Bombyx mori: one gene and its partner. Each later gene encodes a partner of the first gene's protein in a complex. Links are inferred from orthologs where the notes say so. Each region holds a gene or a part of one and is shown in the gene's direction. Other genes may lie near its edges.

Region 1 (8,974 bases):
GAAGGCATTGGGGAAGGCCTATGTCCAGCAGTGGGCAGATAAAGGCTGATGATGATGATGATTACATTAACAGGCATTCATATGTTGACAAAAGACAAAACTTTATCCGTGATAAAAGAAAAGAAAATACTATAAACCTAAGAACAACTCAACATAAGGATGGTTTTCAACAAGGATCGATAGTGACTGCACAAACACAGCATAGCATAGAAAGTAAAATATACAAATAAAAAAAACCTGGAAATAAAATTTGCCAGTAGTCGAGTCGTAAGAGCTAAACTACAAATAATAACTAGAAGACGAGGCCCATGTGTTCTAAACTTGTTGGTTTACATTATTTACTTTATTTTAATAGATAATTATTTACACTGATGTATAAACAATTAACAATTTTTTACACTCAAAAGTCGTCTATTATCAAAGGTGGCAATCTGTGCATTTGGACAAAAAAAATTATTGATATGTCAATACAGATTGATTTGAATATAATCGTCTCCTTCAAAGAATACGGTTCAAAACCTGCATTAAATAAAGGTTAATAGTTAACCTGTTATTTATCTAAGATGTCGTTCCGAAGAGTTTTGTGACTGCCAATGGAATACAAAGTCAATAATTCGTTTTTCTGATTTACCAATCATTGTCCAAAAGTCAGATTGCCGGCTTTGATAATAGTCGACTCATTTAAAGGTCATTCCAGACTTAAGACCACACAAACAAACAAACTTATACTATGATCCCAGGAATGGGCTGATCAAATATGGATAGCTGGTATGTTATATGCTGGTGAAGTAAAGAGATATACCAGTGAAGTCTCTCACTAAAATCTTGGCTCTCAAAAAACAAAACTCCATAAATTCTAGACTTGTTTAAACATCTAAAGCCAGACTAATAGTTTCCTACCAAATATGGCTAGGCAGGGAGAGAATGGGGAGAATGAAGATAAGTATAATGAACATAGATAGGGGCTCCTTAAATTTACGCTAGGGTCACAAATCCAGTGTCATTCTCAACCTCCTCTCTCAATAACACAATGGACCTGTGTAGTGAATCCATAAATTGTTAGTTTTATTTATTAGTCTCATATGTATCACAATAGTAAGAATGTTGTGTGTGGACTTTTATGCATGGAAAACAAACAGTCATAATACAATGCATAAAACAGGACTTACAAAATATAAAAGTTAATATTCTAGCCTACATACTTGCCTGTAAATTAAATGGAACAATGCGTTATTGGCTTGTGGATGATTCATAATTTTAATTAATCTGCACATAACATAGTCTCGACTGCAACATAAACTTTTATAATTTAATATTATTTTGTTTTACATTGTATCTTATGGCTGTTTGTTATCAATGTTTGTGGTCCCAAACAAGTTTATTTTGAAAACAAACTGTTGTAAACAATTCAGACCTGCCAATGCTATGCTTAACAACGGTGTTGTAATCTTACAACATAATGAAAATTGAAATAATACGCCACCTATCTGCTATACTTACTTTGAAATAGAAAACTGAAAATATCCTGGCTGAATAATTAATTAGTACAGGAGCTTGAAAATCGGCACACACGACAAAGCAGTGATCTGTGTCTCTAAGTTTCAAATCTTTTAGTCTAATACAATCGATCAACAAACACTTTTGTAAAACTATTTTTAAAAGACCATCGTGATAAGGCTCTCTAAACTCAAGTTCTTTGTGAATAAAATCTATACAAATGACACTTATTTTGTGTCTGTTGGATCATCTATGAATAAACATCAAGAAAGACAAAGAAAAAGATATTGTCAGTTAAATCAAAAAACTATCTCTGAACAGGTAGATACACAAATAATCTGTTCATTGCGTGCCTCAAACCATCTTCAAAATATTTTCTAAGTTTGGATCGATAGTGTTGTCCAATAGCTAAATTTCCTAATAATATAATACTATTTCACTTACTGATCTGAGTGAGACATCAATTTATATTAAGCTAAAAGAGTAACGTATCGATTCACTAAACACCGGTTTGCTGTGAAATTGCGGCATTGACTTTGAATAGTGGCCTTGAATGAATGCGGGTATGAGAATTCATGTCTGAAGGTAAACTTTGTGCATATTTTGGTGCTATGATGAAAATGTAATCATATTAATGATTCTGGCGTTAAGCTTAAATACTATAACTTACAATTTTTAAGCTTAAAGCAATATTGACTTCCTCTATTTAGGTACTTCTTTTTTTATAAAATTCAAAGCTGTGCCAAATTGCTGCTGCACTATAACATAATAATTTATAATACAAATTACATTGTGATTATTTAGGGCTCGTGTCTTGTGCGAATTTGCTAAATGAATTTAAGTGGTTGAAACCTGCTGCACTAATTAAAAACTCTCATTTCGGAAAACGCACGACGCTGCATCTATAATTCTGATATTCACATTGTTTTTCGAAAATATTTTCACTTTTTTCCATAAATGGTTGGGTGTTCAGCTACAATCCACGGTGCAATTTTTATAGTTAATAAACGAACGAATACGAAATAAAATTTTGAAAAACTTTGGTTTGTTCACTTTTTAAGTATAATTTTTTACGATCAACTTCTTAAGAAACAAATTGAATTAATTTCCAGATTGTCCCAATTTTCAATAATATGAACGGGTACACAAAAACCGTGGAATTTAAGGTCATGACGAGGACTAAAGATTTATTTTTAGAAATCGTCAAAATGCGAGAACGGGACAATACGAAGTTTTAGGCAATGTACACGAGAATTAAATCCAGGGATATGAATACAAATATTTCTTTGATCGGTTCAAGTTCACACGTTCTCCTATATTCATATGAAGAATACTTGTAACTACTATAAAGTGCTTAAATACTTAAGTTCAATAAATATTTCACGTTATAAGTTTTTAATTCTTAAGGGTGTGAACTAAAAATGTAACTATTTGTTAGAAGAAATTCGGAGCTATATCTCGATTTTCTTGTTATCATATGTTTCATTTAGTCTATTGATTAGATTTCACGAGCATGCGCTCTTTTACTTTCATGCCATAGACATTTTAAGAAGTATCATCTACTTTAAAAATTAACGTGCATACTCCTGAGTTACAAACACTTTTCTTTCATTTAAAAGAGTCACTGAGTACTTGCAACGTACAAGACTTAAAATTGACGCTATTATCTATTTTATTTAAACAGAACGAAACATGCCAATTTATTTTCAAAGTTTCTTTTCGATACATCATAAAAGCCATATTTACTTGTAAACTCAGCTTTATGCACATTTATAAACTAGGAGCAAAGTAGACAAAACGGGTGAATACGATTTAATCTCAAAATGTGTAGTTGACATACTTAGTATGGAGGGTAGAAATATCTTTACCTCCGTAATACTTAGTAGACTATGGTGAACAATCAGTAATCTCAAATATATTAAGTGTATAATCTATGGTGATTATTGAAGGACATCTCTAATTGACAGTGTCAACTGTCATGCTGTTTGATGTTTCTTGGGATGACATTTTATGCCGCGAAAATTTCTTTTTGAACTCATTTTAAATATTTATTAAATAATTTTATGCTTCGATGTATAAAGCTAAAACACTTCACAAAATAATCATAAATAACATTGTCTGAGAAAATGCGTGGATCAATGGATACAGACCCGTTGGCTATTCAAATAAAACTTGTAAGGAAGTACATAAAATTGAAATTAATAGAAGACAATGTATTGTTTCGGGGGCACGACCAGGAAAGAAATCATGTGTACGAATTATTAAGAAGAACTGTCTTACAAGGAGAATCGCATTCGGCTTTACTTATAGGGCCGAGAAGTAGTGGAAAAACCACTGTAAGTTCTTGTGCTTCAATATACAATTCGCGGATTTAATTTACAATATTTTTAAATTGTTTTATGTCCACCAGCTTAGCACAATATAGGTGATTGTGGCCGCTCTCAGCTCTTCATGTGACAGATACATATGTGATAGATAGGTATATATAATGCAGCAAGATTTAAGAGTGGTATGGTTTACTGTCAGTCTATTTGGGTAGGTATGTTGGATTCTGCCTATTTTTTATGAAGTAGCAGTGCATTCCAGCGTGGAAGCTAGGATGATTGTCAAACAATACAATTCTGAATTCTACCTGACCCATGAATGATATTTTTGTTCAGATCCCATCACTTTTATTATTTTCTTTATATTTTCTTTAATAATGTATTGCTAGTAGTACATAGCAACATACCTGCTATATCTTTATCTTTTCCAGAATTTCTGTATAGTTAAGTGGCTGTCTGGAAGAGATCTCTTGATGATGAGATGATAAGATTTGTACAAATGGATCTGCTTGTTGACTGTTTTCTATTGTTAATTGTGTTTTGGTGTGCATATAAAGTATATTCTCTCTCTCTCACTTTCTAGTTACAATTTAATATAAGGTGAAGCAAGGGCCTCTGTACAGAAAATGTTATCTGTTGTGACCTTTCAATAATGGTAAAACATTTCATTTCAGCTACTAAACTCGGTACTTCACCAGCTCTCTAGAGAGACAGATTTGGAGAATGATGCTATTATAATTCAACTGAATGGCCTTGTACATAGTGATGATAAACTGGCCCTTAAAGCTATCACAGCGCAGGTGATTGAGGCCTTTTTATGAATCTAATAAAAATGTCAAAAAGAATTCTATTAATGTTTGTTCAATTGTATTCCTGTATAGCAGGAAAGGTTTTTCTATTATATTTTGTTCTGAATAGGATAGTGAATTGTACTTAACTAAAGACCATTGTGTGTAATAGACTAGACCAGTGTTTCCCAACGTGGTGCCCATAGCCTACAAGTTGGCAATTTGATAATTAAGAAGGGCAATTGCATTAAATCAATAAAGAAAATTGTATTGAAATTATTTTATTATGCTAAAATTATGTATGGGGGGCATAAAAAATTTAAAAATGTTACAGTGGGGCATGGCACAAAAAAGGTTGGGAAACACTGGACTAGACTGTAATAATATGATAAACATGGTGGTTGACTCTTCACTAATGCATTGGATATGAGAAAAAAATCTGTAGCCAAGGTCTTGGTAGGGGGACAACACAATGGCAAAACCTTGGCCACTTTTGAAGCTTGACTACTGGTGTCTTAACCACAGTATAATTAAAGGCAGGCTTAACTAATCTGAATTAAATTGAAGCCTCACCAACTAAGATGGACTCACCTACACTATTCTTTACAGATGCAATTAGAAAATACTGTGGGTGAACGAGTTTTCGGTACCTTTGCCGAGAACCTCTCGTTTTTGTTAAGCTGCATCCAGACTGGTGTTGACAGACGATGTCGAAGCATGGTATTCATTCTAGACCAGTGTGACATGTTTTGCCACAGCGGTATCTCCCAGACATTACTGTATAACTTATTTGACGTAACTCATTCACAGACGGCTCCTATGTGTGTTATCGGTAAGTTCGCTGAGATTGTTTTTGTTGTTTTTCTCAGAATATGTTATAATATACGATTGAGACTGGCCTTTGGCATCACTGTGGTGATGGCATTAACATTGCTACAGTCCTTGCTTATCCTTTAATACATGTTGTGTAGGTTATCCATCATAGGCATTAAAATGCGACTTAATCTGCTTGTCACGTTTTAAAATTAATAATGTATCTTCACTTCATACTATCACACATCTATACTAATATATAAATCTACAGTGGTTTTTACGGATGTTCCATTATAACTACTGAACCATGCGTTCGATTGACATGAAAATTGGTATCCATGTAGAAAATACATGTACTTAATGGATAGGCTAATATTTATATGAGTGTTGGACTTACTGGTGGTAGGACCTCTTGTGAGTCCGCACGGGTAGGTACCACCACCCTGCCTATTTCTGCCGTGAAGCAGTAATGCGTTTCGGTTTGAAGGGTGGGGCAGCCGTTGTAACTATACTGAGACCTTAGAACTTATCTCAAGGTGGGTGGCGCATTTACGTTATAGACGTCTATGGGCTCCAGTAACCACTTAACACCAGGTGGCTGTGAGCTCGTCCACCCATCTAAGCAATAAATAAAAAAAATAAAAAAAACTTCCTACACCAGTTGCGGGGGCGTTAATGACGAGAATCTTTCTGGGGGTGAGAAATAATAATAATGCCTAGCTAGTCTTAAATATATTTGGTATTTGATGCCTACTTGTTTCTATGTGTCTTTCCATTACCATTAACACAGGAGAAATCCTTGCTCGAAGATGTTAAATCTTCATTTCATTAAATATCATGCTTCCTTACTGTGCACAGGTGTAACAAATCGCTTAGACATTATGGAGTTGTTTGAAAAAAGGGTCAAATCCCGTTTTTCCCATCGTCACATATTCATATTTCCTAATGAAGTCAATGATGATGACCGGTATGATATTATCTCGCCTCTGGAAGGGAGAAAGAGATTGTTTGTGGAATTGCTGAGTCTGCCCCTGGAGGGTTCTGTGTCGCCGAGGAAGAAAAGAAAATCAAGGAAGTCCATCGGTGAGCTAATATAATTGCTTACGTGATATTCTATACTAGATTATATTTCATCCCACTGCATTGAATGCGTGTCCGCACATGCCGCCTCATGCTTTGTCGCCGGAGAAGCAGTGGCCGGAAATCTAATATTTGTAAAGTAGATAATAAGTTTTGCTTACACATTGTTATTAGATACCTAGTTTTTTTTTTTCTGTATAGAAGGAAAGATGAATTAATTAATAATAATAATAATGATTAATAATGACTTTTTATTTTTTTATTGTTTATTTGGGTGGACGAGCTCAGAGCCCTCCTGGTGTTAAGTGGTTATTGGAGCCCATATACATCTACGATGTAAATGCGCCACCCACCTTGAGATATAAGTTCTAAGGTCTCAAGTTTAGTTACAACAGCTGCTCCGCCCTTCAAACCGAAACGCATTACTGCTTCACGGCAGAAATAGGCAGGGCGGTGCTACCTACTCGCGCGGACCCACAAGGAGTCCTACCACCAGTAATTACGCAAATTATAATTTTGCGGCTTTAATTTTTATTGCACGATGTTATTCCTTCACTCTTCACCGTGGAAGTCGATCGAGAACATTTGTTGAGTACGTATTTCATTAGAAAAATTGGTACCCGCCTGCGGGATTCGAACACCGGTGCATCGCTCGATACGAATGCACCGGACGTCTTATCCTTTAGGCCACGACGACTGTAAAATTAATGAACGAGCGAATGAATTTATGAATGAGACAAACAAATTTCACAGGTCTAGTCACTTTTGTTTTATAGAATACGATTTCCTTAATATTTTAAATTATTCTGTAGCAATGTAAATATCCTTAAAGGAGGTCTATATCCAGCAGTGGATGTCCAATGATTGATGTATCGATAAATAAATTAATTTAGTAACATTTTTTCAGCCAAAACTGATGAAACGGCCTGCACATCCACAGTCTTTGCAATACCAGAACATATATTAAAAGGGAAACTCGACGAGCAATGTTTGTCTACGATGGACCGAGCCTTTGTGAGCGACTGGAATGCCCATATCAGAAGTTTGATTGAAAACGAAAAAGTCATTGACGCTTTAGAGAAGCTATGTTACTATACCGTTGATGAGCAAACTTTTAGGAATGTTTTGGTAAGTTCGAACTTTATTGTATATTTTTTCCTGTACTTAATTGTTGGAAGTGCAAAGGATTATTTTAACAACACGAGGATGACTTGGCCTACGGCCTCAATCAGGGATAACTTGTTGATACAAACTCGATGGGTAGACGAGCTCACAGCCCACCTGGTGTTAAGTGGTTACCGGAGCCTATAGACATCTACAATGTAAACGCCGCCATCTACCTTGAGATATGAGTTCTAAGGTCTCAGTATAGTTACAACGGCTGCCCCACCCTTCAAACCGAAACGCATTACTGCTTCACGGTCGAAATAGGCAGGGTGGTGGTACCTACCCGTGCGGACTCACAAGAGGTCCTACCACTAGTAAACCACCAGTCAGTGACATTAATTGTGTAAATTGAATTTTCAGTTTGAAACAATCAGTAAACTGTCTCCGACGAAACCGAATATAAACGTCATAGATCTAACAACGGCCATAGACAACGCAGTGGCTCCGGAGCACAGAGTCAAAGTGTTGCAGTCGCTATCTATACTAGAGTTGTCTCTGGTGATAGCCATGAAGCACGGGATGGAGATATTCGACGGGCAACCAATGAATTTTGAAATGATCCTACACAGGTTAGGTTATTATTTTATGGGCATTTAAAATAAACATTATTATTTCTCAACCCCACAAAGATTCTCATCATTGACGCCCCCGCAACTGGTGTAGGGAGTCCAACACTCATATAAATATTAGCCTATCCATTAAGTACATGTATTTTTAACATGGGTACCAAGTTTCAAGTCAATCGGATGCCCGGTACAGTAGTTATAACGGAACATCCGTAAAGACCACTGTAGATTTATATATTAGTATAGATATAGATACTGCCCGTAAACACTTCAAAGTAAAAGGCTTTTTCTTAACCCGCCTTGGGTTGAGAAATCAATCAATTAAGTGAGAAAAAAAAAAGGTTTATCGAAATAATATTCTCAATCGGGAAGTTTTTAAGAAGGAACACTGAATTAACAATACGGAACGATTCATATAAAGGTAGGTTGAGAAATCAATTAAGCAACAAAAAGAAAAAAAGGTTTTTTCAATTTATATTAAGTTTATATTAAGAAACACTAAATTAACTAAACTAAACGATGGACTTTTTGGCGGGAACGCGAGGAGTGAAGTTGTGTGATTTGTTTTATTTTGTCTATTTAGTGTTTCTTCGGGCTTAAATGTGTAATAATGGTCGTTTATTAACTGCTTAATATCTGTGAAAGTGCACAAATGTGGGAAAATGAAACAAAGCCGCTGGACGTAACTTCTCGGGATCCTCCAAAAAGTCCACTGAAAAAATCTCTGTGAATGACCACC
Region 2 (7,886 bases), on another chromosome or scaffold:
GTCAGTACCAGCTCACGAATGGTCCTTACCCCCCGCAGGGCGAGCGTGCTACCGGCTACGGGGTGTCACTACTGGCCGTGCTGTTCGGCGCGCGCACCGGGTCCCGCCTGCTGCGCGCGCTTAGCCCCCTCGGTCGACTGTGAGCACCGCCCCAGGGTCACCGGTGCTCATCGCCCACGCGTGTGAGTACACTAATCAAAAGAAACGCCCGGACGTACGGGACCGGGTTACGGTGGAGAAACAACAAATTAGGTACAATTTATAGTTTTTTATAAATCTATTTTATAGTAAGCATAATAATTAACTTTATTGGTTATTTTATGAATAAAACCATCCTGACACTCTAACGCTGGCATGCGTGCGACAGTAGATGATGTCCAGAGACCGCGTCGCTAAGGATACAGAAACACGTACTTTGAATGTCGATAAGTATAGTACGTCGATGAAAATAATATTGTTTAATATCTCAAAATCTAATATTAAAAGGCATTTGAAAGAAGAAAATGTGTCAAGTTACGCGATCCCGCGCCACGTACACGGCCGCTCTGATTATAACCCGAAGTTTCAAAGGGCTCAATCAGCACGCAATGTACAGCATCGATTTTGATAATATTGTTTTAAGTCAGTCAAAATGTTCATTGGTTCATGTTATTGACTATGTCAGTAGCCGGTAGTAGGGAGGCCCGACCTGACACATATCGGTCGGGAAGCTGGCATGCCTTCCGGGCTGGAAGACCTCATGCCTCAAGGTAACGGCCCAACTGGCGTTAAGTGATCACCAGTGATCACCGGAGCTCACCACAGCCCGAGTTCCATAGCGACGTTGAAACCAGTTCGTACCCTCAATTTAGCATCGGTATGATTTTTTGTATGACACAGCGATATAGCGCATAGATATACAGTAATGCCCCTTATAACACGGTACCCTTATAATGTATTTTCATATAACGCGATTTCAGTCCCTAGTATAACACGGGCATTCCCCCATATAACGCTGGGATTTGTAACGTTATATTTCTGTACTGTGAAATTTAATATCTGTACAGTTCATAATGAATTTGGCGTACCTTTGCACATTGTGTCAATTGTGTTGTTATAAAAATAAATTAAATTAATTTATTCAATTTTTGTTCCTAGTTTTTGAATTGTAAAAACATTGGCATTATTGTATTATATATGTACATATATATTTTTTGTATATAACGCGTTATATGGGGTCATACAAAAGCGTTTTTTGTGAATACTACAACGCGTTTCCTATAACGCGGAACCAATCTACCGTGTAATAGGGGGAATTACTGTAAATATAAAAAAAAAAAGGTCTGTAGCGAAGTGTCGCTGCCAGCAACGCGAACCAACGAGCTTCTTAAGAAAATAGAGAGTACTAAACAAAAATCAGATTTTTTTTATTATTTTTTTATAATTATTATCCATTATATTTATTTAGGTACAAACATAATTTTGTTCTAAACGACCTTCCAAAATGAGCGATGTGGGGTGATAATATTTTAACATTAATAATTTTTGTATGCATTTGATCCGCATTGAAAAAGCGCCTTAAAATAAAACGAATAAGCAATATTAAGTAATTTAATTAATGTACAATAAAACTGTTGTTTGTAAAATTGTTACCATCTCGTTCAACTTATACAAAATGTAATGTTGTACTATATTAATGTATTTGTAAGTGAAAATAGCGTGGGAAGTATTTTAATGCTTATCTAGAATACAGGGTTTTGTGTATCCTTCAACTATTTGAGTCGACTATTATCAAAGCCGGCAATGTGACTTTTGGACAATTATTGGTAAATCAGAAAAACGAATTATTGACTTTGTATTCCATTGGCAGCCACAAAACTCTTCTGAACGAGATCTTAGATAAATAACAGGTTAAGTATTAACCTTTATTTAATGCAGGTTTTGAACCGTATTCTTTGAAGGAGACGATTATATTCAAATCAATCTGTATTGACATATCAATAACATTTTCTTGTTCAAATGCACAGATTGCCACCTTTGATAATAGACGACTCATTTGTTGTTCAAATCTGAAAAATAATTCACTTGCTGATTCATTGCCTTAATGTGATGAATTAAATAAAAAATCTGTTGTTTTTCAATTAAAGACCATGAATATATTTAGTAGCCAAATTAAAAGGCAGATTTTTTTTTTTAGTAATAAGTAAATAAATGTGTTCCATCAGAACCAAGTCGCAGTGTCACCTTATATTTTTATTAAGGAACTATGTGGTATTACCGATCACTATTCTAACATTTTATTCTTTTTTTTTTGCAAAATAAAAAACTTAATATTTGGGTAGCCATTGTTGTTTTATTCCGTATGATATGACCTAGGATACGCGTAGATCCGCTGAGAGGTACTTATCATCGGCAAATATCTTACTGTTAATGTATAGTATAAATGAGGTCCGTCAGCGCAAAAGTGGTCTAAGCTTACCATAGTTATTATGGAGATATTGAGATTTGAATTTATCTTTACAATACTTCGCCAGCCAAAAAATACGTCCAAAAATAATGTTTACAAAGGCATCTGTTATCTGTGTGAAACTTGGGCGATTTTGCATCAAAATTTATTATGTATTAAATAAATTGCAATACATAAAGACGAATATGAATTGTGGGTTAAGGCACTTTTGCGCTGACCGCCTCAAATATCTTATAAACTTCCTAGTGAAATGATGATGGTCGTTGAAAATACTGACTTTGCGAACATGAGTTGAATCTACGAAAATGGATGGGTATTTAACAGATTCCTCTTCTGGTAGAAATATTTATTACCAAAGTAACATTCCGTTAGTCTTCAATAATTTGAAAAACATCGCAAGCAAACGAAAACGCCGACACTCAAAGTTTCTGACACACCGGAATGAAACAAAAAATATATTGGAAATCATGGTTTTATTGATATCAATTTACATTACTAGTCAATGTATAAAAAGCTTGTTTACATTAAATTCAATTTAGTATTAAAGATTTTTAAAAATTTTAAGTAAAAAATAAATGCGTTCACCGCGCTTACTAAAATGCACGACAGATTATCTACTTTTTATTTGGTAAATCCTTATTAAAACTACACTGAAGAATATTATATAACATGTGTATTTTTGAAAAATAAATAATGAATTTCTATACGTGATTAAAAATGTGATCAATTTGACACAAGATAATAAAAATGACTAATGAATTATTGCTCGACTACAAAAATGGCCAAGCCACGGCCCCAATTAAAATATAAGTCCTAAAATCCACTTGTAAAATATTTTTATGTATAATATTGTATCTTTGCACTCATTATTTATATAATAGAATGAAAGAGACAATATTCGTTTAAAATTCCATGTGGCAAGTGCGGGGCAAACATTTTCTATTCATAAATCTCTAACGCCAGTGCCGTAGTTCGCTCCCCCTGCCCTATTGAGTGCATCCTTGAATTGGTCGATGTCTATCTCAGACTGATTTTCAAGTTGCAACTCCACAGCAAAGTTCTGAAACATAATAAAAACTAGTTAATTGAGAACTAGCATTGAAATTGAAAGGTGAGTGAAACTAGACCTTCCTAATTTCAAATTATTTTTTTATATATTTGTGTCTGTCAATATCTGTCTGATAATAATAAAATATTAATAAAACAAGGTTCTAATAATTAATTTTAAATCCAAATGAATTACGAATAAAACGAATTAAAGTAGGTATCTTTTTTGATTCTCAATATTCGTCGTACTAAGCCGGCACTTTATTTGAAGCACAGACTATCAAATGAAATTTACAAAGTTCAAAGTTGTCAAAATTGGAATGTGCGCAAAAATGTCAAACCTGAACATACGTTATAGAATTGAATTAACACAAAAGCTTACGTAAATAAAATAAATTATATTAAAATGGATGAAATATACAGTAAAGTTGTGTGCAGAGAGAATCAGTTAAACGATTTGTTCAATTTATTCGGAGATGACAACGAACCATTGCCGTGTTCTATTTTTATAAGTGGAAGTATGGCAACCGGCAAAACGTTATGCTTACAAACTGTTCTCAATTATTTAAGTTATAAACATGTATTTGTCGACTGTATCGAGTGTTATTCGTCAAAGATAATGTTCGAGAACATATTGTCTGCCCTCAACGATGAAGACGAGGACGTGAAATGTGAAAATTTCATGGATTTTATAAACTGTTTGAACCGGCTTCAAAATAATTATGAACCAATAGTAATTGTATTCGATAGAGTCGAGAGACTACGCAACATGGATCAGAACCTCTTGCCAGTGCTACTAAAGCTTAGAGAATTTTGTAAATTGAACATCTGCACGATATTGGTGACGCATTTGATATTCGAAAATTTTAATTTCAAATTCGGTGTACGAGAGCCCATAAAACTCTACTTCCCTAACTATAACAAAGAAGAGTTATTCAGGATAATATTTCTCTACCAAAAATCATTTGTACAGCATTTGCTGAACCATTTTGACATAGAAGATGAAACAACAGAACTAATTGAAAAACCAGAGTTATTTGCAAACTTCTTGAATGCATTCTTGAGTGTATTCTATAGGCCATGTCGAGACCTTATTGAATTAAAGCATATGGCACGCCTAAACTTCATCAAATACTGTGAACCAATCATAAAAGGTGAAATACAATCAAATGATCTAACTAAATTGTGGAGACACATCTCACCAATCTTGAAAACAAGCCTAGAACTTTTATACTTAAGAATTAGTGATATGAGGCAATTCAAACCTTCACCGGGTAAAGAAAACAGTGAAAGCTTATATGCCAAAGAATTCTGTCTGGAGAAAACGTTAAAAGATGAACTTTCTTCTACAAAAACATTTGCACAAAGCTTCGAACTACCATACTTTGCGAAATACTTACTAATTGCAGCATATTTGGCTAGCTACAATCCGCCCAAAGAAGACAAGAGATTGTTTATGAAGAACCACGGGAAACAACGTAAACAAATGAGACAAATCAAAGCAAAGGCTAAAATTAATGAAAAATTAAGTACACAGCTCGGTCCTAAAGTTTTTACTTTAGATCGATTGTTGGCAATATTCTATGCTATCTTAGAAGATAAGATCGGTTTAACCAGCAATCTGTTGGCACAAATAGCGACATTAGTTGAGCTAAAATTGATAGCGGGAAGCAAAGAGATAGATTTAGATACAGCAAAATATAAATGTATTGTTGGCTATGATTTCATTTCAGCCATTGCTCAGACTGTCGGTTTTAACATTAGAAAATATTTGTATGATTTTATTTGATGTATTGCTGTCAAGTTGCGATACATATTTCTCTAATAAACATTTTTCTGAAACAATTTGATTTTTAGTACTTATATGGGTAAATGAGCTCATGGTCCATGGTTCCAACCAATTTGAAAAATGAGGTCAAAGTCCAATCCGTATTATTAAAATAGCTGGCACATCCTGCAATTCGGAACAATTTTTTTGATAATTTTTTTTTCAATTTCGTGATTAATTTAGGGAGATGTTTAGGATTGAACAAAAAGAAGCTGTAAGCACGCGGGGGAAGAACTTATCCAAAAATAAAATGGGCTTATACGAACCGATATGATGTCCTTGATGATAGCTTTGTCGGTGGACATCTTGGCTCGGTTGATCACAGACACGTTCGGTCCTACCCACGTCATGAACATAAATTTCTTGCGTTTAGACATCTCGTCTCCCATCTGCAACCTTCAGTCCAAAAAATTTATTAAAACAAATATGTGTAATGCAACACACATCTGTTGGACTACGCGAGCCAAGACTTAATTAGAACTCTTTTTACCGATTTATCACGCGGTTTTTGTATTTCTTATTAACCACGTCTCCAATTATTTATAGTTTCCGATCACTCGGCGCCTCAATCATTATTAATAATCACTTTGGTGCTGAGCTTAATTTTACATATTTTTCAAAAAAAGCTAAGGAATTCAGAAAGAAATTACCCACAAAAAAATTTAAATAACTTAAAAATACAAAAATTCATTCACGAAGCAGCTACTGTCGAGTGGTTAGGTCTCCTTTGGAGGCGCTCGGGTAGCTGTTAGTAAATCCCACCCCTCTTGGCTGAGCGCGTGCTCGCCCACCTGTCCTGGTGAAACTGGAAAGGCCTCCGGGCCACCAGTAATCCCTCAAAAAAAGAATCCCAGCTTGGGGTTGGGTGGTAGATGTGTCGCATGTGTCCCTGGTATTATTCATCTGGTCGTGAAAGTTTGTTGGAGGTTTGAGAATTTTTTTTTTTTTTTTTTTTATTGCCCTTGTAGGCAGACGAGCATACGGCCCACCTGATGGTGAGTGGTTACCGTCGCCCATGGACTTCAGCAATGCCAGGGGCAGAGCCAAGCCGCTGCCTATCGCTTAATACTCTCCACAAGCCTCTTTTAAAGAAGGACATGTCATAGCGCTCGGGAAACACCGTGGAGGGGAGCTCATTCCATAGCCGGATGGTACGTGGCAGAAAAGACCTCTGGAAACGCACTGTCGATGACCGCAGTGGCTCCAGGTAGTATGGATGAACTCTACTCCGGTGGCGGGCGGTGCGATGGTAAAAACGAGATGCCGGTATCATCTCGAACAATTCCTCAGAGCACTCCCCATGGAACATTCGGTACAAACTACAGAGGGAACCGAAGTCCCTCCGCAGACCCAAAGGTTCCAAACGATCCGCGAGAATGGGATTATCGACGATTCGAACGGCCCTCCTCTGTATGGAGTCAAATGGAAGAAGCTGGTATTTGGGAGCCCCGGCCCAGAGATGGGAACAGTACTCCACGCGAGGCCGGACTTGTGCTTTATAAAGCAAAAGTCTTTGTCCAGGCGTGAAATACCGCTTCGCTCTGTTGAGGACTCCCAGCATTTTGGACGCCAACTTGGCTTTGCCTTCCAAATGACTCCGAAATTGGACATCACTCGAAATGTCGACCCCAAGTATCCCGATGCTCGCGGAAGGTTGCAGGGATACTCCTTGGAATTGCGGCGCCATGACAAAGGGGTCCTTCTTCGCAGTGAACGCGCAAACTTGTGTCTTCAACGGGTTGAATTGAACTAAGTTCGATTCACCCCACTCGGAGACTCGCCCCAGAGAGTTCTCCACTTCAGACACAAGTTTTGATCGTCTCTCTTGCACCACGCTCCGAGAAAGACTCTGATGGCCGATATATCGCGCATCCCCCGTGCTGTCATCCGCATAGCAATGCATGCCATCAATAGACAGCATGTCATTGATATACAGGATGAAAAGCGTGGGGGAGAGCACCGAACCTTGTGGAACGCCAGCATTAATGGTCATGGTATCAGAACAATCACCGTCCACAACGACCGTGATGCTCCGCCCATCCAGAAAGCTAGCGATCCACTTGCAGAGACCCTCGGGGATTCCGTAAGATGGAAGCTTCGACAGAAGCGCCTTATGCCAGACCCTGTCGAAGGCCTTCGCGATATCAAGGCTCACAGCAAGAGCCTCGCCCTTGCTCTCCAAGGCTTCAGCCCACCTGTGAGTAAGGTATACAAGAAGATCGCCAGCTGAACGACCGTGACGGAAACCGTACTGTCGGTCACTGATCAGCTGGCGATCTTCAAGATACTTCAGGAGTTGTGTGTTTATTATTCGCTCCATCACCTTGGAAAGCAAGGAAGTTATCGCGATAGGCCTATAGCTCGATGGGTCCGACCGGTCACCCTTCTTGGGGATAGGGTGGACGTGGGCGGTCTTCCATGAAGACGGAACCCTGTTAGTGCAATAAGAGAGGCGATACAAACGCGTTAGCGCAGGCGTCAGCTCAGGGGCGCACTTTTTCAGAACCACTGCGGGGATGCCGTCTGGCCCACTCGACTTATGGACGTCCAGGAGTCGGAGCTCCC

Evidence for each region. Proteins that work in one complex are often made in the same cells at the same time.
Region 2: the proteins of origin recognition complex subunit 4 (region 1) and ORC5 are in contact, whole or in part, in a cryo-EM structure (PDB 7JPO), measured with the Homo sapiens proteins. The link is inferred for Bombyx mori from reciprocal best matches to the Homo sapiens genes ORC4 and ORC5. Residues at the interface, in NP_001177808.1 of Homo sapiens: Ser18, Gln21, Arg22, Arg25, Glu26, Cys29, Arg30, Gln31, Arg69, Thr74, Asn100, Leu102, Leu103, Gln104, Ile105, Ile109, Glu113, Arg116, Asp162, Arg277, Met281, Met284, Leu285, Asn288, Met311, Asp312, Ser313, Lys314, Asn316, Ile317; in NP_002544.1 of Homo sapiens: Ile17, Ser20, Leu21, Phe22, Gly23, Glu24, His26, His27, Phe28, Ser29, Phe30, Pro31, Tyr36, Gly37, His38, Thr39, Thr98, Phe99, Asn100, Val103, Arg104, Arg131, Glu134, Asn136, Pro139, Gly140, Arg143, Gln145, Glu146, Leu147.

Annotation. Positions count from the first base shown.
Region 1 is NC_085108.1:2,848,857-2,857,830, reverse strand, and holds the start of origin recognition complex subunit 4, read left to right. Parts: upstream 1-3,477; 5' UTR 3,478-3,623; coding exon 3,624-3,833; intron 3,834-4,495; coding exon 4,496-4,621; intron 4,622-5,218; coding exon 5,219-5,441; intron 5,442-6,280; coding exon 6,281-6,505; intron 6,506-7,409; coding exon 7,410-7,630; intron 7,631-8,029; coding exon 8,030-8,238; intron 8,239-8,974. UniProt on the Homo sapiens protein: Component of the origin recognition complex (ORC) that binds origins of replication. DNA-binding is ATP-dependent. The specific DNA sequences that define origins of replication have not been identified yet.
Region 2 is NC_085126.1:11,149,770-11,157,655, reverse strand, and holds ORC5 (origin recognition complex subunit 5), read left to right. Parts: upstream 1-3,827; 5' UTR 3,828-3,899; coding exon 3,900-5,282; 3' UTR 5,283-5,338; downstream 5,339-7,886. Other genes in the region: probable aminopeptidase NPEPL1, read left to right, coding at 39-143; cyclic AMP-regulated protein, read right to left, coding at 3,390-3,506, 5,588-5,717. UniProt on the Homo sapiens protein: Component of the origin recognition complex (ORC) that binds origins of replication. DNA-binding is ATP-dependent. The specific DNA sequences that define origins of replication have not been identified yet.